Linked DNA regions of Mus musculus. The main gene of each other region encodes a partner of the protein of the gene in region 7 in a complex. Links are inferred from orthologs where the notes say so. Each region holds a gene or a part of one and is shown on either strand. Other genes may lie near its edges. The genes, in order: Sf3b4, Prpf38a, Sf3a3, Sf3b2, Ik, Zmat2 and Sf3b3.

Region 1 (4,454 bases), on a different chromosome or scaffold from region 7:
CACTCGGGAGGCAGAGGCAGGTGGATTTCTGAGTTCAAGGTCAAAAGAGAATTCCAGGACAGCCAGGGCTACACAGAGAAACCCTGTCTCAAAAAACAAAAAAACAAAAAAAAAACAAAAGAAGAAGAAAATGTCTGTGAATACCCTGGAAAAGTTACTCAGTGAAAGTAGATGAGTCCCTGAGTCAGTGACAGGAAGTGAGTGCAGTCTGAGCACTGGCTTGTGACCAATGACAAAAACATAAGCTAGACTTGCTCTGCAAAGTGGAGGACAGAACAGACAAAGCCCCAGAGTTGTAAACTGGGCTCCTACAAGTGAGAACTACTGAAGATGGTGTCAGAAAGAGGAAAGTTAAGTGTGGGTTGAGCAGTGGCCTTTTCTAGCCTGCCAAGAACCTAAGACCAGAGACCAATGGTAAATTAGCACCTTCACATTTAACACTACAGAGAAACAAAGAAAAGAGAAACAAGCAAAAAATCTACACAAACATAAAAAAAGGAGCCGATCCAGGTTGCTATGGTTGACATTAGAGAAATCTAGAAACACGCACGCCTTTAGTCCCAGCACTTGGGAGGCAGAGGCAAGAGGATCTCTGAGTTTGACACTGCCAGCTACACAGAGAACCCGTTTCTCAAAAAGCCAAAAGCAGAAATGTCTTCTAGATTTGGCAACCTTGGAAGCAGAGGAGAGGTTGAGAGTTTTGCCCAGTACAAGCTATCCTTTAGGAAATACAAGAACTGGAGATAAAACAGGAGCACCAACACGTACAAAGTACTGTCTGTTTCTGAAGAAAAGGAGGACTCTGGACTATTTTCATCCAAGACTACCAGGACAGACAGTAAGAAAGCCCCTCTCACAAGCTCAGCTCCTTCCCAGCACAGAGCCCTTACCTGGATGGGGCATCCCACCTGGTGGGAACGGGTGAGGATGTGAGTGTCCGTGACCGGGATGTCCAGCCCCTGGAGTCCCTGCTGCTGGGGGGCCATGTCCTCCAGCCCCAGGTGGCATAGGTGGTGGGGGCATGGCTGGGGGAATCCCAGGAGGGAGGGCCCCAGGAGGTGGCACTGGAGGTGGAAAAGAGCCAGGAGGCGGCATGCCTGTGTAAGAAATGGAAGACAGTTAATGTCTTGCAGAGCTCCAGCCTCCCCCCTGCAGGCTTCCCTTCAGCTTCACTCCATCTGCCAACTTCATCCGCCAACTTCATCCCTTCCACCAGCACGCCTCACTCCTGTCTCACTGCCCAACAACTTAGCAGCTTACTCTACCAGGGCTGCTTCTGCCTCCTGAGCCTCCCTCCCAAGAGCCTCACTGGCACAGTCTGAACTCCAAGCTGTACCTGGTGGAGGAAGCCCAGAACCCAGGGATGAAACCACGGGATTGGGGGCAGAGGGCGGAGGGGGTGCATCGGCAAACAGCTGGTGAGGGCGGTCAGCCTGGGACAGCGGGTTCTGGGCTGCCAGGAGTCTTTCAGCTGCTGAGCCATGGCGTTCACCCTTAGAGTCCTTCTTGAAGGCATAAGACACAGTGATAGGACGGTTACACAGGTACTGCCCGTTCATGGCCTCAATTGCTGCATCCGAAGCATCGAAGGAGGCAAAATTAATGAAGGCGTAACCCTTGGAGTTGCCTGTGTCAGGGTCCCGCATGATCTTGGGGGTCTGTAGGATGACTCCAAAGGCGCTGAAAGTATCGTAAAGCAGCTTTTCATCAATTTCTGGGTCCAGATTTCCAATGAAAATGTTGGCTCCCACATCCAGGTTTTTGTTGTGAGCTGAGGCCTTGTTCACCCGTATTGGCTTTCCATAGAGTTTGATCATGTTCATAATCTTAATGGCATAGTCGGCATCTTCCTCGCTCAGGAATTCAACAAAGCCATAGCCTGGGGAATCAATGAAAAAAACAAAACAAAACAAAAAACAAACAAACAAAAAAAACCCATCATTCAGGGGAAGAGACTCAAAATGAAACATTAACTCCCCAGCCTTCAAACACAAAGAACATAATAGATAATAGCTGGGCGACTGCACGTGCACGTGCTTTTAATGCCACCACTTCGTAGCAGAGGCAGGTGGAGCTCAAAGATCGTGACCAGCCTGGTCTACAGAGCAAGATCTAGGACAGCCAGGACTACACAGAGAATGGTTGAGAATGGTTCCAGAAACTAGAGCTAAGAGAAAATATTCCAGAAACTGGGAATTGAAGCTGAAGGAGAAAGCAATCTTTAGGTTGCTCATTCCAAAGGCGCTGTGCCTAGCGGCTGAGCCTCTTCGGGGCCGGTTAACCCTCTCCAGGGCTGATTCCTGCCCCGTACCCTACTCACCCTGGTGCTGGCCAGTGACTCTGTCCTTGGGCATGTGGGTGTTGACCACTGGCCCTGCCTGGAGAAAGAGCTCCCACAGCAGCGGCTCACTCACTTTCTCGTCCAGACCGCCCACGTACACCGTGGCATCTAAAGGGAAGAAGCAGGCGATGAGGAGTCGGCAGTGAAAAAGAAGACAAAAACCAAAAACCGTCGCCTAAAGCCCTGAAATTCCCTCTGCCACCATCATCTAGAAAATCTGCTACGTCTAATTTGGCATTCTTGCTGGTCCGGTACTCCCGGGAGGCTTTTGTCTTCTTGGTGGAGGGAGCTGATCTAGAAGCATCGCTTCTCACAGGCCTCGGCCTGCACCCGGCCTCGCGGCCAGCCAGGTGCCCAGAGGTCGGTGTCCCACCGGGGGGGATCTCGTCTACCACCCCAGGGGGAACGCTTCCGGCACTAATCTTCCCTCCACTTCCCTGCTCCTATCTTGGGCTCTTCTCTCCCAATTACCCTGATTCCGTTCGGAGATCGGTCCGGCAGCCATGGCGAAGGGGCTCCCGCCGTCTCTAAGCAGCAGCACCGCCCCCTGACCTCAGTTACAACTTCCACTTCCGGGCCAAGGCTCACGTTGGGCGGGGCCGGCGCCGGGGGGGGGGGGAGGAGCCGGAAGCGATCGCGGCCATCTTAGGGGTCGGAGTCTTGTCTTTCGGAAGGGAAAGGCGCTCTAGGGCTGCTGCTGTAGTCGGGGCGGAACGGATGTGCTCAGCCCGTCTCGACACAGTTAACTAAAGCCCCGGATGCTTCCAGACTGTTAGAGGCTCACACGGCTCCCCAAACGCACATTCAAGTGCAAAACCAGGCTTTGTACGTTCTGTGACGCAGAGTTGTGTCCTAAGTGCAGGGCCAGGACTGCCTTCTGGAGCGACCTATTATTTAGTGAGGTCCACGACGCTCGTGCAGACTCGCCCTCGGCCTAGACTTGAGCCTGAGGTATTTTGTTTTCCCCTAAGTGTCAAATCTCCGCTTATCTTGGGAAATCTGGGACACGAAACCGGGTTGGGTTGCGGGCTGGTATCGAAGCTTTAAGGAGCAGACATGGATCTCTTGAGTTAAAGGCCAGCCAGGTCTACAGAACGAGTTCCAGGACAGCCATGGCCACACAGAAAACCTGTCTCAAAAAACAGAGTTCCAGCTGGCCTAATAGACACATAGAGACCATGTCTCAAAAAAGGTGTGCGGACCCCTTCCCCCATATTTTATGTGTATTTCTTCCAGGCCACGCCTGACTTGGATCCTTTATTTCCTTACAATAATTTGGGTGTTTTTCTCAGTTCACACCCTCCCCTCCACCCCCACGGCTTTGCTGAGATCTTCATTCAACACAAGAAAATACCAGCAATGTGTAGAAATACTGTGCTTTAATGAACTCCTTAAATAGAAACGCTGCTATGAAAATATACAGTGGGAGGAGACGGTTTCTCCCTTATTCACCTCGTTCCCACAGAAGACTAAGAAAAGATTTCAAAGTAGTGTAGAGAGGTTGCGAATGAGGTCTCTAGGACATCATTGTTGGGACTGATGAAAAGGGTCTCTCATGTCACAGTTTTGACGGCCATCCAAAAGGTACAGAATTGCCTGGGAAAAGGGGCAATCACATTCTGAACTGGTCTTGTTTCTTAGTTTTCAAATCACAAGAAATGAAAATAGCCCCAGAAATCAAACAAATCGGGAGACCTTTAGGTTGGTAGCGCCACCATCTGCTACAGAAACGGGCCTTCTAAGTGAACTCTGCAGACTGGAATGCCAAAGCTGAGGCGTCAAGGTCAGACAGGAAGATGAGCAGAGACCCCTGCCCTGCCTCTGAGAACGACGCTAACAAACAGTTTCAGCAGATCTGAGAGAGGATGGTATTCGGATCTCTTTTCTTGCTCTGGTCCTCGGGAGATATTCTTGGTGTCCATTGTCTTAACAGTTCCTGAAGGTGAGAAAGCTCATCCTGAAGGGCAGAGACTGTGAGAGCTGAGGAGCCCATCTGGGGAGGGGCAAAGCGCACAGAGGAAGACTGTTACAGGGCTTGCTTCCTGGTTCCTTTTTTTTCCCCCTTTTCTGTTTTTTGTTTTGTTTGTTTTGTTTTTCCAGTTGGGTTTCTCTG
Region 2 (4,016 bases), on a different chromosome or scaffold from region 7:
ATGTAAGTAAACATTTTTAAAGAGGTAAGGCACAAAGTTGGGGACTTAGTCCAGTGGTAAGGTAAGGTTGGGGATTTAACATAGTGATGAAGCACTAGCAAGCACAAGGCCCTACTTTCAGTTCTTGTCTCCAAAAGAAAGGAAGGAAGGAAAGGTGTGGCACGTAGGGAGCTTCACATAAACTTTCATGATTCTTTTACTCTTTGCGTAACTAAGTCATTTGCAGGTTGCTTAATCTAGTCATTTTTCTCTTCCAGAGTTTGTGCTGATGCATGTAGATGAGTTCATTTATGAACTCCTGCACAGTGAGAGAGTCTGTGATATCATTTTGCCCCGGCTACAGGTATGAGACAAAGGTCACCTTTTACTTCTCACATAAACACAAATACCTACTGAAACACTGAAGCTTTAAGAGTTGTCTTAATAAGTCCTTATACCAAAATTTACAAAGGGTAGGGAATGAGATAAAAGCAGGTAATGTTTCATGGGTAGGCTTTGAAAATGAATAGAGGAAAGGATGTCTTATCCCAAATATACCTGGAGTATTGTTTTTTCAAATTGGTAAGCTAGGCTAAGAAACAGAAGAAAGATCACTCAGAATGAGAAAGAAAACACTCAATCCTTTAAACGTCTTGTGTCTTGTTTATCATCTTCCTTCACACCCAAAGTGATAACTATTCATGAAGCAACAAAAAAAAGGAGAACCTTTAGGCCTGAGAAAATGGCTTAGTGGGTAAAACACTTGCTGTACAAGCCTGACACTCTGAGTTCATATCCTTAGAACCCACACAGAAGGAAGACGGAGGATAATGCCAAAAGCTTACAGATCAGCTAACCTAGCATCCACATGTACACTCTGGCATATGTGCTTCACAGATAAAATTGTAAAATATTGAAAGAACTAAACAACCTTACCGAAAGTTTATTGTGCCAGGCATAATAATTGTGGTGCTGGACTTTAGTCCCAGCACTTGGAAACCTGCTCTAGCTCTAGGACAACTAAGCCTTCATGGTGAGACCATCTCAAAAAACAAATAAGCCTCACCACCAAAGAACCCTACAAACAACAACAAAAACAAAACAAACAAAAACCGCCCAGTGTTAGCGAAATGGTTCAGTGGTTAAGAGTGCTTGATCTGTAAACATAAGGACCTGAGTTCAAGTCCCCAAGCACCCATGTAAAAAGCATGGCTGCTAAGTACCTATAACCCAAGCTTGGCAGGCAGAAACAGACAGATGTTTAGAACTTGCTGGCCAGATAGTATAGCCAAAATGGCAAGCTTCCTGCTCAGGTAAAGACTTGTCTCTCACTGAACTAAACTGGGAAGCAACAGAAGACACTGTGGCCCTATTCTGGCATGGGTAAGCTGGCATGTGTATTTGCAGACTCATGTATTTGTGTCACACACACAAATGAGCAAATTTGCCTTTATAAAATTAAAACATTTACTTTTCATGTTATTTTAATTAATCATTATTAATGCTGGGGGTGTGTGAATGTGCCAGGGCATATAGGGGCCAGAGGACAATCAATTTTCACCTTCTACCAGAGAATGCCAGAAGAGGGCATTGGATCCTTTGGAACTAGTGAGCCACCATGTGGGTACTCGAGCTGAACTCAGGTCCTTTCCAAGTGCAGCAAGTTCTCTTAATAGCTGAATCATCTCTTCAGCCCTGAAGGTAACATTTTTGATGACACACAAATTGATTGACAATGTATTGACCTTACAGTATAAGACCACAGGAAATAGAAACAATTGAAAATGAACTTGTTCCCTTCAGCAATCTGTTTATGTTTGTAGGGGACCTTTAAAAAGCATATGGAGGGGCTGGAGAGATGACTCGACGGTTAAGAGCACCTACTGCTCTTTGGATGGTTCTGAGTTCAAATCCCAGCAACCACATGGTGGCTCACAACCATCTATAATGAGATCAGACACCCTCTTCTGGAATGTCTGAAGACAGCTATGATGTACTTACATATAGTAAATAAATAAATCTTTTTTTTTTTTAGAATTACTCTTTTTTTTTTTTTTAGGTATTTTCCTCATTTACATTTCCAATGCTATCCCAAAAGTCCCCCCATACCCTCCCCCCCACTCCCCTACCCACCCACTCCCACTTTTTGGCCCTGGCGTTCCCCTGTACTGGGGCATATAAAGTTTGCAAGTCCAATGGGCCTCTCTTCCCAGTGATGGCTGACTAGGCCATCTTTTGATACATATGCATCTAGAGTAAAGAGCTCCGGGGTACTGGTTAGTTCATAATGTTGTTCCACCTATAGGGTTGCAGACCCCTTTAACTCCTTGGGTACTTTCTCTAGCTCCTCTATTGGGGGCCCTGTGATCCATCCAATAGCTGACTGTGAGCATCCACTTCTGTGTTTGGCAGGCCCCAGCATAGTCTCACAAGAGACAGCTATATCTGGGTCCTTTCAGCAAAATCTTGTTAGTGTATGCAATGGTGTCAGCGTTTGGAGGCTGATTATGGGATGGATCCCTGGATCTGGCAGTCTCTAGATGGTCCATCCTTTTGTCACAGCTCCAAACTTTGTCTCTGTAACTCCTTCCATGGGTGTTTTGTTCCCAATTCTAAGAAGGGGCAAAGTGTCCACACTTTGGTCTTTGTTCTTGAGTTTCATGCGTTTAGCAAATTGTATCTTATATCTTGGGTATCCTAAGTTTCTGGGTTAATATCCACTTATCAGTGAGTACATATTGTGTGAATAAATCTTTTTTAAAAGGGGAGGCATATGGATTCCACTGTATATTAATATCATACCAGAGCTGTGGTTCCAAGGCTTTTCTGTCAACCCCAGAAACTCTGTTAGGATCAGGCTATGGAAGAAATGGCAATGACTGTTGACGTTGTGGTCCCTGTAGAAACGGTATGTGCTGGAAGAAGCTGAGCAACTGGAGCCTCGAGTTAGTGCCCTAGAAGAGGACATGGATGATGTGGAGTCTAGTGAGGAAGAGGAGGAGGAAGATGAGAAGGTAAGGCATGTATGAAAGTGGTAAGGCTGGGAAGGAAGGAAGGAATAGCCCTTATTTTGTAAGCTTTAGTTTGTAAATTAATGATAACCTTTCCTTTTTACATTCTTTGTGGATTAATTACTTTTGGGTTCCTTTTGGACAGGGAGAGCTCTAGTGTGTGGATAAGACTAGCAAGACATTTCAGTTCTGCCTCAGGAATAGTAGGATCACAGGCCTGTGCCTAAAAAATAAGAATGCTGTATTCTTACTAAAATTAGGAGCTTTGGTGTCAAATACCCCTTTGGCTTGAATACCTCTTCTCTGTCATAGTAGTGGTATAGTCTTAATTGTCCTGATTTTTCTCCCTTTGAGTTAGGGATTGATTGCATCCACAGTGTCACTTATGCTGAATGCATATTCTATCCCTGAGGTACACTCAGTCTCTACTGCTGCGTTAGATTGCTTGTCTTCTGTAAAGCAAGGAGGAGTACAGTACTTTTCTCTGAAGACTGTTTTGTGTTCATGAAGGTATATTCCCACATAATTGGTAAATGAATGGTAGCTATCAAAAAACTTGGACAAAACATGCTTGAACATACTCTTAAGGGGAGAAGTTACCTGCTACATAGTCATATTTTGTCAGAATTAATAATTATAGTGCTGAAAAGTGGAAAACAACCCACCTCAGCAGTCAGGATGTAAGGAGTCAGGTCGATTGTTGAAATGATTTTTAAGCAGCCATTAAAATGATGGAAATGTGGGAGTGCTTCTAGTAACTGCTCTAAAGCATTTGCAATTACATTCTAAGAAACACTGCAAGAACCAGAAGGACATATAAGAAATGCTTGGCGTGGTGACACATGCCTTTAATTTGAACCCTCTAGAGAGACAGAAACAGCTCTGTGAGTTTGAGACCAGCTAGAGTTGCACAGTGAGACCTTATCTCTAAAACTAAAAAATTAACCTCAAATTGGGTTTTATATTGATAAAACAGTAATCTAATTATTTTTCCTCAACATGGAATTTTCTGTTCCTGTCCCTTGC
Region 3 (4,016 bases), on a different chromosome or scaffold from region 7:
TAAGTGCACTGTAGCTGTCTTCAGACACTCCAGAAGAGGGAGTCAGATCTCGTTACAGATGGTTGTGAGCCACCATGTGGTTGCTTGGATTTGAACTCTGGACCTTCGGAAAAGCAGTCGGGTGCTCTTACCCACTGAGCCATCTCACCAGCCCCACAGCCATCTTTCAAGACCTTATTTTAGAATGGCAAAAATTATTCCCACTGCCCCACCGTGTGTTGCGGCGCCAGCACAAGCCACGCTTCACCACCAAGAGGCCCAACACCTTCTTCTAGACATAGAGACCCACTGAATAAAAACTTGAGACTGTCAAAAAAAAAAAAAAAAGAATGGCAAAAATCTTTAGGCAGGATCCTGGCCCACCCTGAATATCCAGCCCAGGTTTTACTAGGGCTAATGTTTGTTAACTTGATCTTGTAGAGTTGGTTTCATGTTGGGCAATCTTGTACTCCCTTCAGTAGAATCAGCCTCCGGGATTGTAAGGCAGGCAGGAAAGCCCTAATGTGAGCCAAGCCTCGATACTTGGTCAGAAAACGCTCGATTTGGACCTTGATTTAAAAACAAAAGTGTGTGTGCGGTGGCCTTCAAATATGGGGGTCACGGAATAACTTGAGGGAGTTAGTCCTCTCCTTCCACAGTGTGGGTCTCTGAAATAGAACTCAGATCTTTTTGCTTGGCGGCAAGCACCTTCATCCCCTGAGCCATCTCTGCAGCCTTGTGTGATGTTTTGAAGGTGAGCTGACTTAGCACCTGATTCTGTCATTTGTTTCCTCTTTTCAGAAGCTGGATTACATCACATACCTGTCCATCTTTGACCAGTTGTTTGACATTCCTAAAGAAAGAAAGAATGCAGAGTACAAAAGGTAGGCACTTACAGGTTCCAGGCCGTTTCCAGATTTAGGTAGGATTTCATGGAAAGGGTTGGGTCAGAGTTGTGGCTTTTGTTGTCTGAATACTGGACATGAATGACTTTTGGGTTTATCAGAAGGTAAGGATACTGAGTGTTATGTTTTAGAAATATTTGTGATGCTGTCATGGTGGTGCAAGCCTTTAACCTTAGCATTCCCAAGAGGAAAAGGGCAGGTGGGTCACTGAATTCAGCTGGTCTGCATAGTGAGTTCCAAGCCAGTCAGGGATGCGCAGTGAGAGCCTGCTCAAAAGATAAACGTGTGGGACGTTCTGGTTATGGACAGAGCTATTATGGAAACATCTGTGGTCTTAACACACACCTTCCTTAATTTTGTGTGATTTAGAAAGAAGTCTGTTTGGGGACCTCTGAGGTCTTGTAGTTTAATGGGGAAAGTGTCCAAGCTAAGTGATGTGCTTGGATCAGGTATTAAGCAGAAAGTACTGTAGACTTGGCCACACTTCTCATTAATGTTCCCCAAGCCATAGGCCTTCAGTTCTAAGCCTGCAAGTACAAATGAGCAGGCACACACACGAGACACACACACACACTTTCTGTCTGTCTGTCTGTCTGTCTGCCTGCCTGCCTCTCTCTCTCTCATATGCTATGAGTTTTACTTTATCAACTATTATTAGAAATTAAGTATGGTTTGCAGGGCATAGCAGGATGTCACAGGTAGAATTGCTTCCTTGCTATAATGGCTTCCTTGTTGCATGGTTCTCTGCAGATACCTGGAGATGCTGCTGGAGTACCTACAGGATTACACAGATAGAGTGAAGCCCCTTCAGGATCAGAACGAGCTCTTTGGGAAGATTCAGACCGACTTTGAGAAGAAGTGGGATAATGGCACCTTTCCTGGATGGCCGGTGAGCTCCAGTGGGGTTCATGCCAAGGAAGCGAACTAATTATTTTATTCTTGAGTCTCTGCTTCAAGACGTTGGATGTCAGTCCCTCAGTATCAGCTCCATCCTGAGGCCGGCATTCTTTGTACACTTGGAACAAGATTTGTCAGGACCCACTAGACATTGTCTGGGCCCTGGGTTTTTAACAAACATACCCAGATTGCTCTGTGACTCCTGACCAAAATCTGATCAGTTTGTATGATTAGAATCTATGTTTGTTTTTAAGAATTGTTTGTTTATTTTATTTATGTGAGTACACTGTAGCTGTCTTCAGACATACCAGAAGAGGACATCAGATCCCATTTCATAAGGTTGAGAGCTACCATGTGGTTGCTGGGATTTGAACTCAGGACTTCTGGAAGAGCAGTCAGTGCTCCTAACCACTGACCCATCTCTTCAGCCCAAATTTGTGTATTTTTACTTCTTTTGATAAACTTGAGCTTTCAGGAAGAAAACTAGCTGTCTGATACTTTTTTTTTCTTCACTTCTGTATGAATTGATCATTATTTGTAAATGTGTTTAAAGAAAGGGACCAGATAGTCCTGGGAAGTTAGATAGCTCCATTACCTTCAGTCTTCTCATTAGCCTGGATCGTAATAAACTTCCTCTACCTGCCAGAAAGAGACAAGCAGCGCCCTGACTCACGCGGGAGCCCATCTTGATCTCTCCGCATTCTCCTCCTGGGAGGTATGTTCTATGACACTACATGACACTGCTCTTACTTGGCTGGCTGTCTTTCTGACAGTGGTGGTGGCAATAAATGTATTGTGTAGGAGTAGGTATATGTCTCTGAGCGTGCATGTGTCTCTGCGTGTGCCACAGCATGCATGTATCACAGCGTGCATGTGTCTCTGCGTGTGCCACAGCATGCATGTATCACAGCGTGCATGTGTCTCTGCGTGTGCCACAGCGTGCATGTATCACAGCGTGCATGTGTCTCTGCGTGTGCCACAGCGTGCATGTATCACAGCGTGCATGTGTCTCTGCGTGTGCCACAGCGTGCATGTATCACAGCGTGCATGTGTCTCTGCGTGTGCCACAGCGTGCATGTGTAGATGATGAGTTGTGGGAGCTGATTCTCTCCTCTACCACTGAGTCTTGGGGCTCAAACTCCGGTCACCCCTTCCTTGACTGTGGGCATTTTTTTTCCTTGTTGAGATATCTCACTAGCCCTGGCCATCCTTCAGAGGGACTGCTTGCTCTCCTGTATTCAGTGTCTTAGACTTGTCACAATACCACTTCTGAGGGCAGGCATGTACAAGGGATATGAAAAGATCAGAAGGGAAAAACCTTTTAACATCTCGGAAAACTAGATTTCAGAGACCTGTGAGATGATGTCATAGAAAGTCAGAGGGGAGCTGAGGCAGGAACATTGCTGTGAATTTGAGGCTGGCTTTAGAGTAAGATCTGTCTCCAAACACAAAGTCAGTAATTCCAAAACGAGGAGCTAGAGACAAGAGTTCAGTTGGTGGAGGGTTTGTCCAGCGTGTGTGAGGTTCTGGGTTCAGTTCCCATCTCTGCAAAAAATACTGCTATGAATGGTCTTCCTACAGAGAGCCACTAAACACTGCCTTCCCAGTACGACTGAGCCTAGACGTGGCAGTAGTCAGTCTTTGGGAACTGAAAGCTAGGGTTGACTGTAGAATGTAGTCTTACCTGGGGAGAAAGCTGATCATGTTGTGTTGTAACTGATTTCTCTTTTCTAGGAGTTGGCATCCCTGGGTCTGGATAGGTTGAAATCTGCACTATTGGCATTGGGCCTGAAGTGTGGCGGGTAAGAACCTGGTTTTGCTATCAAAAATCCTAGTGACTGTATGTTTGGATGATCATCTAAGTGGCTCTGATTTTGTTGTTTGATTGCCCCAAACTGTCAAAATCATTTTGTGCAGTGCATGCTGGTGAATGCCTTTAACCCCAGCACTGAGAGAACAGGCAAGTCTGTGAGTCAGAGACCAGCCTGGTCTACAATAGTGAGTGTCTTTTAAAAAGAAAAAAGATAACCTGTATCCCTTACCACCTCAGGACCCTAGAAGAACGAGCTCAGAGGCTCTTCAGCACCAAAGGAAAGTCTTTGGAGTCACTCGACACTTCTCTGTTTGCCAAAAATCCCAAGTCAAAGGGCACAAAAAGGTAAGTAGCTGGGACGCTCCACTCTGGGTCTACATGTCTTTCCCATGGAGTCTGCTTTCTACTTCTCCTTTTACTTT
Region 4 (4,513 bases), on a different chromosome or scaffold from region 7:
CAATATACTTGGTTTAAAATGTTTGGTTTTCTTTCTTTTTTAATGACAACCCTCCAAAGTTTGAAAAAAAAATCATTTTTAGTTTATAGGCCATCCACAAGCAGGGCACACATAGTGTGCTAACTCCTGGACTACAGAAAAGATGGAAGCACTAGAACCTATTTGGTTATCAGGTAGCCTCCAAGGCAAATTTGAATGAAGCATCTTGGTTTGGACATTAAATAATGTTAAATGGCATCCTCTGGATAGAGCAAGATGTCAAGTCAGAGAGAAAAACATCACCGTCTTCCAGTACCCCAAGAGTTCATGTTGCTTCAGTGAATCTCACACTAGCAGCAATAGGGCCCAGGCCAATCTGCCAAAATACTGGCTTCCTGGGAGTCTAACTATACCTACGTTCTAGTCTTCAACCAAGACCTTCCTAAAAGGCTTGGCCTCAGGGTCTAGCTTTCTCAGGCTCCATTTCCCCGTCAGGGACCTAATGTGTCCCAGGTACAGGTTTCCACCTGTCCTACCTGCTTGGCACGCTCCTCTTGCTGCATCAGCAAAGCTGCCTGCTGCTGTGCCAGCTTCAGCCGTTCTTCTTCTGACAGCGCCACAGGCTCACCCACTCGAAGAGGTGGTGGGGGCCCCAGATTTGGTGGGTGAGCCATAGGAAAGCCAAGGCCAAGGCCTGGTGGAGGTGGTGGAGGTGGTGGAGGAGGCTGTAGAGGGGGAAGTCCCATAGGTGGTGGTGGCATAGGAATCCCAGACAGCTATGGGGAAAAAAATACAGCTATGAATTAGAAAGCATTTATTCAATTTATAAGCATTTGCTAGAGACCTAGCAAAAGAGCCAGATACTAGAATTTGAAGTCTAATGACGTAGGATTCAAGAAAATACACCATAAAAGAATCAAAAGATGCTAACTTTAGCACACTGATCAAAGCTATTAGCTTCTCTGAAAAAATATGAGGAACATTCATATTACATTTTGCATTCAATTTAAGGAGGTACAAGGACACCTCTAAAATCCATACAGGAACTTCACAAAACACACATACACAAACACACCAATAAACTCCAGGTCAAAGCCACAACTTTAGAGGAAGAGAAACAAATACTAGAATCAGAAAGGACTTAAAGAAATAGGAACTAGGGCTGGATAGATGGCCAAGCAGTTAAGAGCTGCTCTTCTATAATATCAGGGCTCAATTCCCAGCACCCCGATGGAAGCTCACAGTTCTGTAACTCCAGCCCCAGAATGACCCAACGCCCTTCAATGGCCTCCTAAAACACTGCATGCACGTGACGCACAGGTAGAAACTTGGACAAAATACAAATTCAGACAAAACACTTATATACATAAAAATAAGTTAAAAAAAAAGTAATAACCAACATTCCAAGGCATAGGATATCTACGTTGTACTAGATGCAGGGAGTATATTATTCAAGTCAGGGCATTATCCTTTACCGTTTCAATAACTTTGGGAGCTATACCTGGCAGGAGAAAGCATGACCACTTCCAGCTGAGAAAGGATCAAGGAACATTTCCAGATATTCTAGTGGAATCTTGAGTGATAAGTCAAATTTGGAGGAGTAGACATTGGGGATTAAAACAGTAGCAGCACTAAATCAGAAGTGAAGAGGTCACAATTTTGTCTCCTTAGACCTCACCCTTAACTTACGGTCCCATCTGCTAGCTCAACACATGGCTATCCTGAGCAGAAAAGATCCTCGAAGCAATCTCTTACCTGTGCTGACATAGGAGGAGGAGCCGCTTTGTCCCCATCTTCTCCTCTCAAAACTGGTCGATTCAGGACAATGCCCGTCTACAAGAAAAAAGAGAGCTCTAGGTCAGACTACAAGGACGTATTCCATTACATAACCTCCTCTTCCATTTATTTACTTAACAAAATGTACCCAGTGCCCACTTGACAGAGACTGGGGCTGGAACCTGAGAAAAGCAACAGGAGTAGAAGTAATTACAATAAAGCAAAACCAAGAACTGACAAAATGGTCAAGAGCCGGCTTGCTGCGTTGAAGTACACAAAAAAGACCTAGCCCGGTGTGCTGGAGCACTCGGAAGGCAAACGCATTAGGATCTCTTAAGTTTGAGGCCAGCCAGGGCTACACTGAGAAACCCTATCGCGAAAGAACAAACAAAAAAAGTATATGAAACGAAGATCCAGCCGCGGAGTGGTGGCGCACGCCTTTAATCCCAGCATTTGGGAGAGGCAGGCGAATTTCTGAGTTCCAGGCCAGCCTGGTCTACAGAGTGAGTCCAGGACAGCCAGGGCTATACAGAGAAACCCTGTCTCAAAAAAAAAAAAAAAAACCAAAAAAAAAAAAAAAAAGAAAAGAAAAAGAAAAAAGAAAGAAGAGAAGAGAAGAGAAGAGAAGAGAAGAGAAGAGAAGAGAAACGAAGATCCATCCGTGAGTAGTCTTAAAGGCCTCCAGGAAAAGTGAGACCTAGCCTGCACTGACAACACTCACCTGACGGGTGTAGGTCTGCAGCCGCTCTACTAACTCCTCGCGACTCCCTATAGGACGAAGCACAGAATCAGGGGGTCAGCATCACCTCGAGCAGGCCAATTTGGCGAGGTCAGGTCCCACAGGCCTGTCTCCGCCCCCCGCCCCGTGGGTCTCCTGGGTAACCAAGCTCCACTTCGCCACAAGCCCACGCAGGGCCCCTCTCGACCGCCTCTGCGCCTCACCCTGGATCGGCGCTCCTATCTCTGCCAATCTGGCCTGAAGCTCCTGCGCAGCCCAGGCTCCATAGTGGCCTGGAGGTGGAGGCGGTGGCAACTGCAACTCTCCTTTGGGAGGTTCGGGATGCTCCGCCGCCATCTTAGCCACAAGAAGGCGCGAGACCAACACGGAAGCTCGGGTCAGCCGCCGGGCCTACTTCCAGAAACTTCCGGTTGCGTAATCCACGTCCCGCGGTGATTGGAGAGAACTTGGTCCAAACACACGCCCTTTCCCTTACCGGGGAATAGGAATCGCCGCCAACGGAGGTTGCAGAGCCTTCTGGGAGTTGTAGTTTGCGGATGCGCCATCTAGAGGACGAACGCTCGCTATGACATCCGGTATGCAGCAGTAGTAATACATCCGCTGCCTGGCTGCAAGAGCTTACTCTACCCAGAGCAGATGCATTCTTCTTCTCTCCTGGCCAAACACATACTAAGTCTTCTGTCCCGACACCCTTCAATGATGAGAGACCTGGGTGCTTATTTCTCCTAGGAGCTCATAGAGATTCCTTTCCGGCGCCCGAATGGGAGGTTGGTGCCGATGGCTCTGATAAAACAGTGTTTGTCTGCTCACTCCCGCCCAGGCGTGCTTGAATGGGCTGAAAGGGGATCGGAGCCGGTGGAGGAACGGACCGCCAAGCTGAGTTCCAGCTGCTGACCTGGGGGAAGGGCACTGCTAAAATAAAATCCCCTTTTGCACCTTCGAAAAAGTCTTAAATAAATGTATTCTCTGTCAAATGCTTCCTTCCCCCTTTCGAGGAATGTTCATTAATACATTTTCCACCTTTCAGGTGTTTTATTATATGTATATGTACCGCTTGCATGCCTGGTATCTGTAGAAGCCAGAAGTGTCAGATCTGGAACTGGAGTTACACTTTTGTGAATCGAACCCAGGTCCTCTGCAAAAGCAACAGTGCTCTTAACACCAATTCTCAAGCCCCAAGGTTTTTGTTGTTTAAGACAAATGTGTCCATATGTGGCCCAGGCTACCCTAGAACTTCTGATCCTTTGCAGGCTACAGATATATACTATCACACCCGATTTCATGGAGTGGAAGATCAAGAGTCATGTAGTTCAGACTGTCTTGGGACAAAATCGAGCCCAAGCCAACCTCTAGCTCTTGGCAATCCTCCTGCCTCTGCTTCTTGAAAACTGGGCTTACTGCTGCCAGCTAATCCATTGTCTTTGTTTCATTTTTAAGTCTTTCCTGTCCTTTATTCCCACCTCCATTCCCCCAAACAGGATCTGGAACTTGATCTTCTTCTATCTTGAAGTATTTAGCATCCAGGAGGCAGCTAATAAATGAGTTGGGAGGTGGGGGTATCTAACCTGGGGACTTTATATTCTTGTAGGAAAAACAAAAAAACCTCAGGACCTTTCTTGGGGCAAGACACCATGACCCTTGCCTGCCCAACATCCACCAATTTATTTTATCTCCTTCCCTCTCCTAGTTCTGCCGCTCTCAATGACAGCCTGTTTGGTTTGTGTGTGATGAATAAAGGAGAGGAACACAAATGGTCTCATTTCCCACCCACGCGCTTCAGATCTTTTCCTAGCCACCTCCGTTTCACCAGCTGTCCTCAAGGGAGGAGTAATTGGAAAGGAGGGGTGAGCAGGATGCAGGAAAGGTGGGGTCTGAGACAGACAGATAGAGTACAGCTGGTAAAAGCGGTTCTTGTTCCCTTCACCTATACCCAAATGGTGACTCTTCCCCATTGGGTTCTCATCACTACCCTACACTGGGATTGCAGACGGAACCAAAGCCGGAAAGGACAGAACTAAA
Region 5 (4,504 bases), on a different chromosome or scaffold from region 7:
CCAGTGCTGATCAGGCAGTCATAATATTATCAATACCTGTATCACTCAAGTTTTCAAAAGTATCATAAATATTTAATTGACATTAACATTAGACACCAATCAAAAAAACCCGTTGTAGACTATACAGTAATAATAACAGGCCCAGAAATCTGTCCATTTGTACAAGCAATGACTCTATTACTAATACTCATGAAGGAATAATAAGAACCCAGAGCATCCCAGTCATCACTGAAACTTCAGTCTTTATAGAAAAAAAATCGGAAGCAGAGGCTTTAAAAGAGCTCTGGCTTTTGAGAGTCCACCAAACTCCGGTTCCACAGAAATGGACAGACATGAATAAAAGAAGACTTACTCATGGTGACGTGACTTAGAAGGTGGCGCAGAAGTAGGTGCAGCTCTTGGGGTCATAAGAAGTTTCCTGAAGTCTTCATTGGTAAGTTTTGATCTGTAAGAAATTGCAAAAAAATTAAAATTAGTAGCCAATAGGAAAGAAGCCTGTAAAATACATGGATTAACTTTACTGAAACAACAGAAATGCCAATTTCAACACATTACTGTTAACTGCTGAAAGTTCTTGCTTTTGTTTTGTTTTGTTTTGTTTTGTTTTTTAAGACAGGGTTTCTCTGCATAGTCCTGGCCATCCTAGAACTTAACTATAAAGATTAAGCTGTCCTCAATCTCAGAGATCCGCCTGCCTCTGCCTCCCAGATACTGGGATTAAAAGTATGTGCCACCACCTCCCACTCAGAAGTTTCACTGAATCAAATGTGAGTGAAACTTTGGAGCACGCTACTCTCATATAGTTTTAGGAATGCTGTGATTGGGGAGGTGGGGGTGGGGCTTAATCCTTTTCTAAAACAAGGCACACAACAAAGGGGAAGGTTTAGTCAAGAATGAGACTTGGTCACTGTGGCACATATAGTGACAAAAGATAAAAACAATGAGGCAGGAGGATCGCTAATCTGAAGCAAGCCTGGACTATACCTTAAAGGGTAAGGCTATAAGGCCCTAGACTCAATCCTCACAGCATTACCAGAGGGCGGGGATGGGGGGCGGAGAGACAGAGAGAAAGAGAGAGCGATTCTTAGGTTGGAGTGTAGGAGTACATGCATATAATCCCAGCACTTGAGAGGCTGAGACAGGAGGATGATCAGATTAAATCCTTTCTCAAAGAAATAAATAACAATTTTAAAAGAAACAAGGTATAGTAGTTCTGTATGAGCCTGCAACCTCCGCACTTGGGAGACTCGAGGGAGGAGGATGACAAAGTGGCCTCTATCTCCAAAAGAGAGGGCTGGGGAGAGAGCTAAGTGGGAAAAGTGCTTGTTGTACAAGCCTAACAGTCCAAGTTCAGGTCTCCAGATCTGAGGGAAGAGCTGGGCACAGCAGTACAAGTGTCTGTAATCCGAGCACCACCCTTCTCAGGAGATGGGAAGCAGAAACAGGAGAATCATCAGAAGCTGCAGGCCTACCAACCTGGCTGCCAGCAGCGAACAAAAGAAACCCTATCTCATAGCAAGGTGGAAGATGGAGCCCTAACCCCAAGGTTATCCTCTCATCTCCAGATGTGCACCTACCCACACACTCAAAGTAATAATAAATATAAATGGGATTGAAATTGTGAAGTTACAAAAGATAATTTCACTCTCATTTCCAATGTTTAATTTTTACCAGGGAAAATTCCTAAATATGTAATAAAGCAACACAAACACTAGACTCTTCCTGGCCATAACTTTTCTTGTAATAATTCACTGAAAAGTCACAGAAATAAAGATTAATGCTCCAAATTTTTTCCTTTTCTTTTCTTTTCTTTTTTTTTTTTTTGTCCATAATTACAACCTTACTGAAAAACTGACACCAAAACAATCATTTTATATAACTTAAGAATTTAAGTATAATTACACCATCTTGTTAAGGTAAATGAACTCATGACATAGCTCTCTGTGGAAAAAATAAGTTTAGCATGTTGTAGAGGTTAGCATTTTCCTTTCAATAAACCATCTTCTATGAACTGCTGGAGCATTTTTGCCAACAAAATACTCTGAATTCTTTCGCCCTCTCTACTATCTCTCTTGCTCATTGCTAAACCCATTCCTCCAAAGACAAAACACTCACTGGTGGAAGGAATGAGGATCATCCACATCGTGGCCATCTGGAGCCAAAGGGTTAGAGAAGGGCTCACCTTAAAGGGGGAAAAAATGACATTAAATCAATCACTCGTTTAATGTGTGAAGTTCCGTACAAGAACTAGCGATTATAAAAATGAGCAACATAGTAGGCAAGAAGAGGAGCAGTGATTATGCAGTAATGCTGAACTGGGAGGACTACAAGAAACTCTATTACCAGAAACTGGGAATGGTGACCCAAACCTATAATCCCAGCACCAGGGAGATTGAAGCAGCAAGGCCGTCGAGATTTCGAGGCCAGTTTGTGCTACACATTCAGATTATCTCAAAAGGAAACGAGCAAAAGAGCTGTTTGTGGCGGCAGGCACCTGTCAACCCAGCACTTGACTAGTGGAGACAGAAAGACCCCTGCGTTCTAGATCCTAGCTCACTCGTAAAAAATAAATAAAAAGTTATAAAACCGGGTTTCCTTAAACGAGGAATCAACAACCTTCCTCCCCCTCCGGCCCCAACCCCAAAAGATCGCTTCTAAAGCACTACGCACTACGCAACTATATGGGACTTTGAGGTTTGCCTCAGAGCGTTAGCGAGCCCCTCCCCTCCCGCGTCAAATAAATAAACCACGTCCCTAAAAGAGAGGCACAAGCCATGGTTTACTAAGGAAGGGATAGGGAGGTAGAGCTGCCTCAAAAAATTCAAAACGCCGGTCCTCCACAAAAGAAATGAAACTTGAGGGCAGCTCAGCTGGGCCTCTCCTAAGGACCAATGGTTCGCGCGGCTCCATCAGTCACACGACACCTTGCTTAAATTCAGCAAACTCGACGAGCCTAGCGTCTCTAGTCCCGCGGGCAGGAAAGAGTGGTCGACTCGAGCCTTACTATCTCGTTCTGGCATTTTGGCAGCGGCCTCTCAACGTCCGCAATCGCGAAATGTCCCCCTAACAAGACAGCGGCGACAAACTTTTATCCACAATGCACCACGAAAACCTGTCTTCCTTCGCGTCACCACACGATGCCTCCTGTCATTGGCTAAGATTTATCCCGCCCCTTTCCCTGCGTCATCCAATCGACGGCGAAGACTGGAGGGCCCGCTATTGGTCCGATTGAGGGTGAAAGGTCGTGATTGGGCGCTCCTTTGCTAACAAAGATGGCGGCTGCCGCTGCTAGCCGAGCGGTCGGCGCAAAGCTGGGGTTGCGTGAGATTCGCGTTCACTTATGCCAGCGTTCCCCAGGCAGCCAGGGTGTGAGGTGAGGCGGAAGCGTGGGAAGGCGAGTGAGCTTCGGAAGCTGGAGCTATGACCTTGACCTCCGGGCAGGGGCGGGGGCTGTGTACCTTTGCCCGCTAGCGGCAGTCTCTCTCTTCCCCCCCCCCCCCCGCAGGGATTTCATCGTGCAACGGTACGTGGAGCTGAAGAAGGCGCACCCCAACCTGCCCATTCTGATCCGCGAATGCTCGGAGGTGCAGCCCAAGCTTTGGGCCCGCTATGGTGAGTACTGGTCGCCGGAGGTCAGGGGCCCGGGTTGCAGAATACGGGATGGAGAGATGAAGGGGCCTCCCAACGTCCTGGGGAAACGGGGCTGAAGGACCAAAACTCGTACTGATAAAGGAATTCACATTTACTTAGTTGTGTGATGCTTTTTATTCATGGCAACATATATATATATATATATATATATATATATATATATATATATGGTCTAACTGGGTCTTAGGCTAGATTCAGGAAATTTTTGCAGTTCAGAGTGTACTTTATGTAAAAGACTTGCTTCTCCATGTCAGCGTAGGCCATTCAGAATCAATTCTTAGCCAGTACAAATTCAGGGACTGAGAATTTTAGCAGCGTTGAGCACTTTATGCTTACAGCTTACGCTGGGTACTTTAACTCATTCTCATTAGTCTCTATTGATGTTGTGAATGGGTGCTTTTCTTTTGTAAATATTAAAAAGCTGAGTCTAAACACTATGGAAAGCGCCTAAAGTTACGCAGCTCAAATAGAATAGGATTGAGCTTTTGCACTTTGTGCCCCTTCCTTATAGCATACTATGGTTGGCTCCCATCATTCAGGTTGTTACTTGCCCCTAACTGCCTATTACTGTCTCAAAGAGGCATTCCTGAGCCAGCCTGTAAATCCCAGCTTTAGATACTCTTAAGCAGAAGCAGGCGAACCACAAACTCAAGGCCTGTCCGAGGCTATAGTGTGCTCAATGCCTGAGTAGGAAATTTAGTGAAACGTTATCTCAAAATTCCAAAGATACAAAGAAAATGGTAATTGCCTTTCTTGTGAGAGGCACTGGGTTTGATCATCAGTACCAAACTGAGGCATTCCCTGACCAGTTATAACATTGCCTCCTAAATTACACTAGTCCTAGTTATACCCA
Region 6 (3,754 bases), on a different chromosome or scaffold from region 7:
ACCTAGCCAGGTCATTCCATTTACCACTCCCCCAGAGTTTACAGAACCTGGAACACACGATTATAATGGAAATGGCAGATGATCTCACCGCACTAGAGAAAACACTAATTAGCCATTACTGAGGTGAATGGGTGACTTCCCAAGGTGTGAATATTGTTAGAATCTCCCTTCACTGAGACCTTGCCCTACCTGCCTTGAAAATATAAAATGATCCACTCCACAAGGGTAATCTCTCTAGGATTTGTAACTAATCCTGCCAAGGAAAGCATTCAAGAATTGCAATTGGCCTGCAACTGTGAGGTTTGATAGAAGGTCTTATTATACAGACCAGACTGGCTGTGATCTTACAGCCATCCTGCTTCTGCTTCCCAAGTGCTGGGGTTACAGCTGTGCACCACCATGCTCAACACTGTATTTAAATTCCCAAGCCAGGAGTTGAGCCAACATATGGAGTATTTATGCAACAATCCCAGTGGCCAAATCCCAAGAGAACTCATTAAGCGAAAAGCTGACTTAATCAGTAATGGATGGAGTGCACACTTTGCGGGGTCCAGTGCTTCAGATGCTACACAGGTGAGGAACTACATGGATCAAAGAAAAGTCACTGTGGCAGTCTTGTGAGTGGACCCCTTTATTGAGAGTGTAGAGCCAGCAAAGGGAGCTTCATCTGTTTACAAGACTTGTATAACTGTCACCTGTGCCCTCATCCCCATCTCGCCCTTGAATTCCTTAGACAAGGCACAGTACGTGATCTAGCTCTCAATGTTTGGGAGGGATTTGTTTTTAACTAATCTCTGTCATAGAGTTCACAAGTTACACTACAGTGGATAAGAGTTTTAGTCATTTTCAATGGGAGAGCCATTTACCTACTCCCAGGGGACAAAGATATTTGTAGCTGTCACAAACTGGATGGGACTGCTACTGCTGACATCTACTAGGTGACGACGCTGCTCAACATACTATAGAGCCCCTTAAAAAAAAAAAAAAAAAAAAAAAAAAAAGACCTGTCCTGAAATGGAGGCACACACATTTAATCTCAGCACTGGAGAAGCTGAGGCAGGCAGATATCTGAGTTCAAGACCAGTCAAGTGGGACCCTGTCACAAAAACCCCAATTCCAAAACTTACCTAGCTCATCATCAACAGTGCCAAGCCTGAATAACCCAGTGCCCGCCCAACTGCAGACAGGCAAGTTTAACCCTGAGCTCTTCTAGGAAGATCAGAGGGTACTAAAATTACAGGGGACTAAAATGTTTTGTTTGGACTCCCAAGGGCACAGATCCTATTAGCAGAGGGGAAAACTCGCACTAAGGAAACCTGTATGTAAGGGGGTGGGAAGAGGAAGATATTCTTGATGTAAGAACATGTGGGGCAGGGAATGATACAGACTTGTCACCAAACAATGTGAAACAGGCCTTGTCACTGTCATTTACTGCACATGTTGAACAGTGTCTGAGAACCGGGGTCTCCCAGAGTGAGAGCTTTTGTTTGGTTTTAGGGCTGTTTTGTTGCTTTTTTGCATAAAACAGGTTCTTCCAAGAACCTGTTCCCGAGGAAGACAAAACAGAGATCCTCAGTGAAGTGAAACAGAAGAAACGAGGTTAAAAACTCACCAGACACTCATCCCATTTAATATCCTGTTACATGCACTGAGGAAACCAAGAACATTAGGTCTCAGGGCATCAATGCTCTGAGATTCTAGCTCAGGTCCCCTCTTTGTGACATATCATGCACACATACCCACACACACATTGACCCAGGCAGAAATCACATGCATGCACAAGTGGGTAGAGAACCGCGGGGTGGAATGGGAGGAAGAGCTGGGTCAAGGGTATACCAGTACCCGCAGACTGGAGACTCAGAACCCTTCTGTTGCAAGCTGAACAAGAGTAAAAATTAAAACAATAGCAGGACACAGGAAAAGGGAGGATGTTCAGACAACAGGTTTGATAGATGAAGAGGGAAAGATGCAGGGGGATATGGGGAAAGCAGTCTCAAAGAGGGAGGTCCTTCTTTATTGGGAACACAGATGGGCAGAGGTTCTGTGACTCCAGTAATGTACTGAGGCTGAAGGAATAAACCACAGTACCTCCCCCAACGTAGAGGGAAACCACAAACACCCACCCTCGAGCCCTGCCCATTAACACTCTTAAGAACCTTCTCCAGTACCCAAAAAAGAAATGACGCCCCCACCCCACCTCAACACACACTCATTAGGTCCAGTATAGGCCAAAGTTAGGCCAAAGAGAACGCTTCAGTAACTCTTCTTGGTGGAACCAAAGCCAGAGAAACCCATCACAGCTGCCATTTCATCATCCTCCTCAAAAGTCAAGTCCTCCTCGGCTCTCCTTTTCTTCTCCTTCTGTTTCTCTTTTTTGTATGCTTTAGCCTTTTCCTCCTGAAGGATAAGGAAGAAAAAAATCACTCAGAATCAGTTGGCTCCAGAGCTGCTGCTGCTGAAAGAGAAATGTAAGCTTCAGGATTCTTTTCCGTCTTTCAGCATGACTAAAATCCACAGTAAAGACTGAGAGGTCAGTGATAAAGCACTGCCCAGCATGCATGAGGGCTTGAGACAGACTCTAAATGGCAGTGAAGGAAGACTGTAAGACAAGATTTAAGAGATAAAAAGAGATTTACTAAGTCTCTGGAGTTTTTAATCATACACCCTAGTTCATCTCTAGTTCTTTTTGTTTTGTTTTGTTTTTTTGTTTTTGTTTGTTTTTTTTTTCCCGAGTCATGGTTTCTCTGTATAGTCCTGGCTGTCCTGAAGCTCACTTTGTAGACCAGTCCGGCCTCGAACTCAGAAATCCGCTTGTCTTTGCCTCCCAAGTACTGAGATTAAAGGTGTGTGCCACCACCTCCCGGCACTCATCTCTAGTTCTAACCAGACAACATCCTGGGACATGAAGCATATGCTAAGATCTGTTCTCAGTTTTGTGTAAATATTAAGCTCTAAGATCTTCAGCACAGGGAATGAGGCTCACTAAGGTTATTTAACTTGCCCAAAATCCATACAAATAAATGGAAGAGAATAATTCTGACCCTGTAACTCAGATACATAGGCCAACTAGGAAATAGTTGTATTTAGTTAATCCCTCTTATAGTTTAAAAAAGTTTAGGGAAAGCTATGTGTGCAAGCATGGGAACAGGATGGCAATGGGAGGCTTTGAACTTTCTTCTCTTGGATATGAACCCATAATTAGTCTAAAACAAACCTGTCTTTAAAAAAAAAACAACAAAATCGCCAGGCGTGGTGGCACATGCCTTTAATCCCAGCACTCGGGAGGCAGAGGCAGGCAGATTTCTGAGTTCGAGACCAGCCTGGTCTACAAAGTGAGTTCCAGGACAGCCAGGGCTACACAGAAAAACCCTGTCTCAAAAAAAAAAAAAAAAAAAAAAAATCAATGAATGAATAATTGCCCCCCCTCCCCACCCCAAGAGATCTAATCTAAAAAGCCAAAGAAAACTGGATAGGCTTTGAGCTGTTTCTCATGGATCTCGAACAAAGATGCCCTAGTACAAAGAAACCCAGGAACAAAACTGGAGCTAGGAGAGTGAGCGGAGGAAGAGGGCCACCCTCGGTCCACAAGGAAAACACTCCAAGCTGGGGAGCAGGGTTAGCAGAGCCTCACCTCTTCTCTGAGCTCCTTCATCCTTTCCTCAAAATCATAATCTTTCTGCTTCTCTTCCATCTTCTTCTTGTTCACCTCAAAACGCTTCTTTACCTGATCCAGAGTGGAGCGTTCCACGCGCAT
Region 7 (4,016 bases):
GTGGTATTTTTCCAATCCTATTTGGAAGAACTGTTTGTTATAAATGGGGATTTCTTAAACCTCAAGTCTCCATTCATAAGAGTTACCATGGACAGAAGTAGACAAGAGAGAAAGTAGGAAAAATCTGTGTCCAATCCAGTAGAGTCAAATACAGCTTCTGGGCTGAAGTCTTATTCTTCTGGGACCAGGAACAAAGTGGTTGATCTCAGGGTTCCTCTGGAACTTAAGGGAGCAGGGTCCTATTAGGGTTGATAGGTGGGAAGGGAAGTTATCTCAGGTAGAGGAGTAAAGGGTTTGAGATGGGATAGGAGAATCATTCCATAGGAGGGAGTGGAGGTGACAAGGTTAGGGGGTGGTAAGGAGGAGATCAGGGAGATGCAAGGGTTTGGATGAAGACTGGGCCAGGGGGATATCAAAACTTGTCATCCATGTGTGAGCTCATAAAAGTAAGATGGAAAGGAGGTTGGTTGAAGAGAATACACACAACTCATGGTGACAATGGAAATATGTCGCAGTTAGTGGCCACTGTAGCTTATTGAAGTTGTAGTTACTGAACTGTAGATACTAAAATATAAAGGTGGAATTGGGCATTTCCAACATGTTCAAATGTGCCTTCATCAATTGTATCCCAGGGCTGGAGAGATGGCTAAGCCGTTAAGAACACTGGCTGCTTGCTCTTCTAAAGGACCTAAGTTCAGTTTCCAGCAACCACAAGGTGGCTCACAGCCAATCTGTTATGGGATCTGATTCCATCTTCTGGTGTGTCTGAAGAGAACAAGAGTGCACTACTCAGTTACATAAAATAAATAAATAAGTTGGGCTGTGGTGGCGCATGCCTTGATCCCAGCACTTGGGAAGCAGAGGCAGGTGGATTTCTGAGTTCGAGGTCAACCTGGTCTACAAAGTGAGTTCCAGGACAGCCAGGGATACACAGAGAAACCCTGTCTCGGGGGGAAAAAAAGTAAATAAGTCTTTTTTTAAAAATGCACTCCTAGAATAGAGTCGTGTGAGAATTCTGAGTGCTTGTGGAAAAAACTCTAAGGGTCTGACCTCAGTTTCTTCTTGGAGTTTATTGTGTTCCTTCCAGGTGTAGCAGATAGGAGTGAGCTGAGCAGTCATTGTTAACTCATGTGCTTCTTTGAAACAACATGGTTTTTGCTGTTTGTGTTGTCCTTGGAATTGAATACCTTACTCGTGTGACTCTTCTTAACCTTCAGGGTATAAATTGTCTGATGTTCTGAATAAAGTTGGCTGTCACATGAGAGTTTGTCCTCGTTTTTAGACCCCATTCTCCCAGGTTCACAAAGCCAACTGGAGAGATAAACAGTCGACTATTTTTTGGGGCAGGATCTCTCACTGAAAGTAGTTTGCAAACTAGCAAAACTGACTGCTATCAAACCCCAGAGAACCTCCTGTCTCTTTTTCCTTAGCATAGGGATTACGGGGTACTGCTGTGCCCTGCCTTTTAAGTGGGTTTTAGGGTTCATAATTCAGGTCATCATGGTTCCATACAAATACTTTACCAACTGAACCTTCTCCGTGTCCCCTGAACGTCATGTTATTACATTAACTATGCAATAGTAAGGGTTTGACAATGTCAGTGCAAGGTTCTAGTTCAGTGTGTTTCAGTGGTGAAAACACAATTGCAGGGTATGTGTTGCTGAAGGGGAAATCTGCGTGTATCTCCTTGTCGTGTACGGTGGTCGTTTAATCGTACACAGTTGTTATCGTGTTGCCTTAGGGCATAAGCAGCTTCATTTCATCAGCTGAGCTGAGTGAGCCAACACCTTTAACTCTCTTGCCTATTACCATAGGATTTTGGCTTTAGAGAAGCTTGGTGCTGTCTTCAATCAAGTAGCCTTCCCATTGCAGTACACACCCAGGAAGTTTGTCATCCACCCTGAGAGTAACAACCTTATCATCATTGAGACGGATCACAATGCCTACACTGAGGCCACAAAAGCTCAGAGAAAGCAGCAGATGGCTGAGGTAATTACTCTGACCTCCAGAGGGGCAATTTCAAAACGCCTGCCTGTGAAGTTGTTTAGAAAAGTTTAAATTTAGAAACCACCTCTAATTCTCTTCTCCATGTCACATACACACTGCTTTGGAGATAGGGTCTCAGACCATAACCCTGGCTTGCCAGGAACTCTTAATGATCCTGCTATTCCCAGCTTTCCAAGGGCTGGAATTCTATGTGCACTGTCACATATAGCTGTAGTCTTTGCTTTTTGTTTTTTGAGACATTTTGCTATCCACCATGTAGACAACACTGGCCTTGAATTTACAAGGATTTGCCTGTAGCCCCTGAGGTGCTGGGGATAAAGCTGTACACTACTACACTTGGCTATCTTTTTACTTTTTAAAAAACCAGGGCTTGTGGTGTGTAGCACAGTGGTAGGCTTCGTGTCTAGCATGTGCAGAGCTCTAGGTTAGATTCCTAGGACTGAAAAACAAGGGTAAAGTGGGTTTGACCCTAAAACTATAAACCAGCCCCCCCTTTCTAGGACCTTTAAACAAAGTTTTTTGTCCTGTTTCTATTTCTCCCTTTTACAAGCTTTTTTTGTGACCTGGGACAAATATGCTGACCTTGGTTACTCGGAATTCAGTTCCCTGTGTAGAACTGTTTTCTGGTCCTTGAGCCTCCACAGTAGGGTGTGTTACATGACGCCTGGATTCAAGCCCTGACACACAGCTTTCAGATTTCCCCTCAGCACCAGCTCATCCAAAAATTATTTGCCAGCAAAAACCAACTAGCACCAAGCATGCAGAAACCATAGGAAGCCTGGAGATACTATGTGAATCAACCAGGTTTTCATTTCTGAGTTTTTAGACATGAAAATATTTGTCACGGTTAATGTTCTGTTTGGCTTTTTTTTTTTCTCAGATATAACTACTAGTATTTCTTTTTCCTTTTAATGATCTCTTTATTTTGCGTTTCTCCCTTGAATCTTTTTCCCCCCTTTTAAATTGTGTATCTAAGTGTTTTAGTGCAGACCTGCTGCACCATTTGTTGAAGCTAAATACCTGTCAGGTCACAAGTGCCTCTACCAGTGGGGCTGTTTGAAGGCCCTTCCTTTCGAATCTCTGTTTGAGGGAACCGTGGTGCTAGGCAACAGTCTTCTTTGCTCCTTCACATCTCATCTCATCTGTTCTTGCTTTTTGGGTTTAGGAAATGGTAGAAGCAGCAGGGGAGGATGAGCGGGAGTTGGCTGCAGAAATGGCAGCAGCATTCCTCAATGAAAACCTCCCAGAATCCATTTTTGGAGCTCCCAAGGCTGGCAATGGGCAGTGGGCCTCTGTGATTCGGGTGATGAACCCTATCCAGGGGAATACACTAGACCTTGTCCAGTTGGAGCAAAACGAGGCAGCCTTTAGGTAAGGACCTGAGGGCAGTCGGGAGTTTGGTGGTGTGAGCAGGGTTCTTGGGGTTTTAACTAATGCCTGACTTTGCCTTCTTGGTCTATTTTTAGTGTGGCAGTGTGTAGGTTCTCCAACACTGGTGAAGATTGGTATGTGCTGGTGGGTGTTGCCAAGGACTTGATACTGAGCCCTCGATCTGTGGCAGGGGGCTTTGTGTATACGTACAAGCTTGTGAACAACGGGGAGAAGTTGGAGTTTCTGCACAAGGTGAGAACAAACCTTCAATTCTCTTGGATCTTAGATCTTACTGAATTCTCCCATTTTTGCCCTAAGCTTCTGGGTCAAGTTTTTTATTTGTTGTGTGTGTGTGTGTGTGTGTGTGTGTGTGTGTGTGTGTGTGTGTGTGTGTTTTGAGGCAGAGTCTCACTTTGTAGTCTTGGCTATGTACCTTGCTATATAGATCAGGCTGGCCTTGAGCTCAAAGATGATCTTACCTCTCTGCCTTCGGAATGCTGGGATTACACCACCATGCTGGGCTGGTCTTTTACAGACGAGCTGTTGACTCTGACTCATCTTTGTGTAGCATTTGGAACATACTAGGACCTTCATGCTTCAGTGATGTTCCTGTGCCTGCCACAGGAAGCTGTGTTCTC

The links.
Region 1: Sf3b3 (region 7) and Sf3b4 share a complex: the UniProt entries of both Homo sapiens proteins name them as parts of the SF3B subcomplex of the 17S U2 SnRNP complex. The link is inferred for Mus musculus from reciprocal best matches to the Homo sapiens genes SF3B3 and SF3B4.
Region 2: Sf3b3 (region 7) and Prpf38a share a complex: the UniProt entries of both Homo sapiens proteins name them as parts of the spliceosome B complex. The link is inferred for Mus musculus from reciprocal best matches to the Homo sapiens genes SF3B3 and PRPF38A.
Region 3: Sf3b3 (region 7) and Sf3a3 share a complex: the UniProt entries of both Homo sapiens proteins name them as parts of the 17S U2 SnRNP complex. The link is inferred for Mus musculus from reciprocal best matches to the Homo sapiens genes SF3B3 and SF3A3.
Region 4: Sf3b3 (region 7) and Sf3b2 share a complex: the UniProt entries of both Homo sapiens proteins name them as parts of the SF3B subcomplex of the 17S U2 SnRNP complex. The link is inferred for Mus musculus from reciprocal best matches to the Homo sapiens genes SF3B3 and SF3B2.
Region 5: Sf3b3 (region 7) and Ik share a complex: the UniProt entries of both Homo sapiens proteins name them as parts of the spliceosome B complex. The link is inferred for Mus musculus from reciprocal best matches to the Homo sapiens genes SF3B3 and IK.
Region 6: Sf3b3 (region 7) and Zmat2 share a complex: the UniProt entries of both Homo sapiens proteins name them as parts of the spliceosome B complex. The link is inferred for Mus musculus from reciprocal best matches to the Homo sapiens genes SF3B3 and ZMAT2.

Annotation. Positions count from the first base shown.
Region 1 is NC_000069.6:96,170,966-96,175,419, reverse strand, and holds the start of Sf3b4 (splicing factor 3B subunit 4), read right to left. Parts: upstream 2,915-4,454; 5' UTR 2,847-2,914; coding exon 2,813-2,846; intron 2,450-2,812; coding exon 2,321-2,449; intron 1,880-2,320; coding exon 1,337-1,879; intron 1,098-1,336; coding exon 891-1,097; intron 1-890. Other genes in the region: Mtmr11 (myotubularin-related protein 11), read right to left, coding at 4,188-4,334. UniProt on the Homo sapiens protein: Component of the 17S U2 SnRNP complex of the spliceosome, a large ribonucleoprotein complex that removes introns from transcribed pre-mRNAs.
Region 2 is NC_000070.6:108,569,133-108,573,148, reverse strand, and holds part of Prpf38a (pre-mRNA-splicing factor 38A), read left to right. Parts: intron 1-257; coding exon 258-343; intron 344-2,882; coding exon 2,883-2,993; intron 2,994-4,016. UniProt on the Homo sapiens protein: Involved in pre-mRNA splicing as a component of the spliceosome.
Region 3 is NC_000070.6:124,721,244-124,725,259, forward strand, and holds part of Sf3a3 (splicing factor 3A subunit 3), read left to right. Parts: intron 1-780; coding exon 781-863; intron 864-1,634; coding exon 1,635-1,773; intron 1,774-2,427; coding exon 2,428-2,496; intron 2,497-3,515; coding exon 3,516-3,583; intron 3,584-3,831; coding exon 3,832-3,939; intron 3,940-4,016. UniProt on the Homo sapiens protein: Component of the 17S U2 SnRNP complex of the spliceosome, a large ribonucleoprotein complex that removes introns from transcribed pre-mRNAs.
Region 4 is NC_000085.6:5,292,565-5,297,077, forward strand, and holds the start of Sf3b2 (splicing factor 3B subunit 2), read right to left. Parts: upstream 2,892-4,513; 5' UTR 2,831-2,891; coding exon 2,698-2,830; intron 2,524-2,697; coding exon 2,477-2,523; intron 1,813-2,476; coding exon 1,735-1,812; intron 756-1,734; coding exon 516-755; intron 1-515. UniProt on the Homo sapiens protein: Component of the 17S U2 SnRNP complex of the spliceosome, a large ribonucleoprotein complex that removes introns from transcribed pre-mRNAs.
Region 5 is NC_000084.6:36,743,289-36,747,792, reverse strand, and holds the start of Ik (protein Red), read right to left. Parts: upstream 3,138-4,504; 5' UTR 3,021-3,137; coding exon 3,005-3,020; intron 2,183-3,004; coding exon 2,116-2,182; intron 446-2,115; coding exon 353-445; intron 1-352. Other genes in the region: Ndufa2 (NADH dehydrogenase [ubiquinone] 1 alpha subcomplex subunit 2), read left to right, coding at 3,273-3,373, 3,506-3,612. UniProt on the Homo sapiens protein: Involved in pre-mRNA splicing as a component of the spliceosome. Auxiliary spliceosomal protein that regulates selection of alternative splice sites in a small set of target pre-mRNA species. Required for normal mitotic cell cycle progression.
Region 6 is NC_000084.6:36,796,522-36,800,275, reverse strand, and holds the end of Zmat2 (zinc finger matrin-type protein 2), read right to left. Parts: coding exon 3,632-3,754; intron 2,398-3,631; coding exon 2,254-2,397; 3' UTR 616-2,253; downstream 1-615. UniProt on the Homo sapiens protein: Involved in pre-mRNA splicing as a component of the spliceosome.
Region 7 is NC_000074.6:110,815,517-110,819,532, reverse strand, and holds part of Sf3b3 (splicing factor 3B subunit 3), read left to right. Parts: intron 1-1,814; coding exon 1,815-1,989; intron 1,990-3,172; coding exon 3,173-3,378; intron 3,379-3,473; coding exon 3,474-3,630; intron 3,631-4,016. UniProt on the Homo sapiens protein: Component of the 17S U2 SnRNP complex of the spliceosome, a large ribonucleoprotein complex that removes introns from transcribed pre-mRNAs.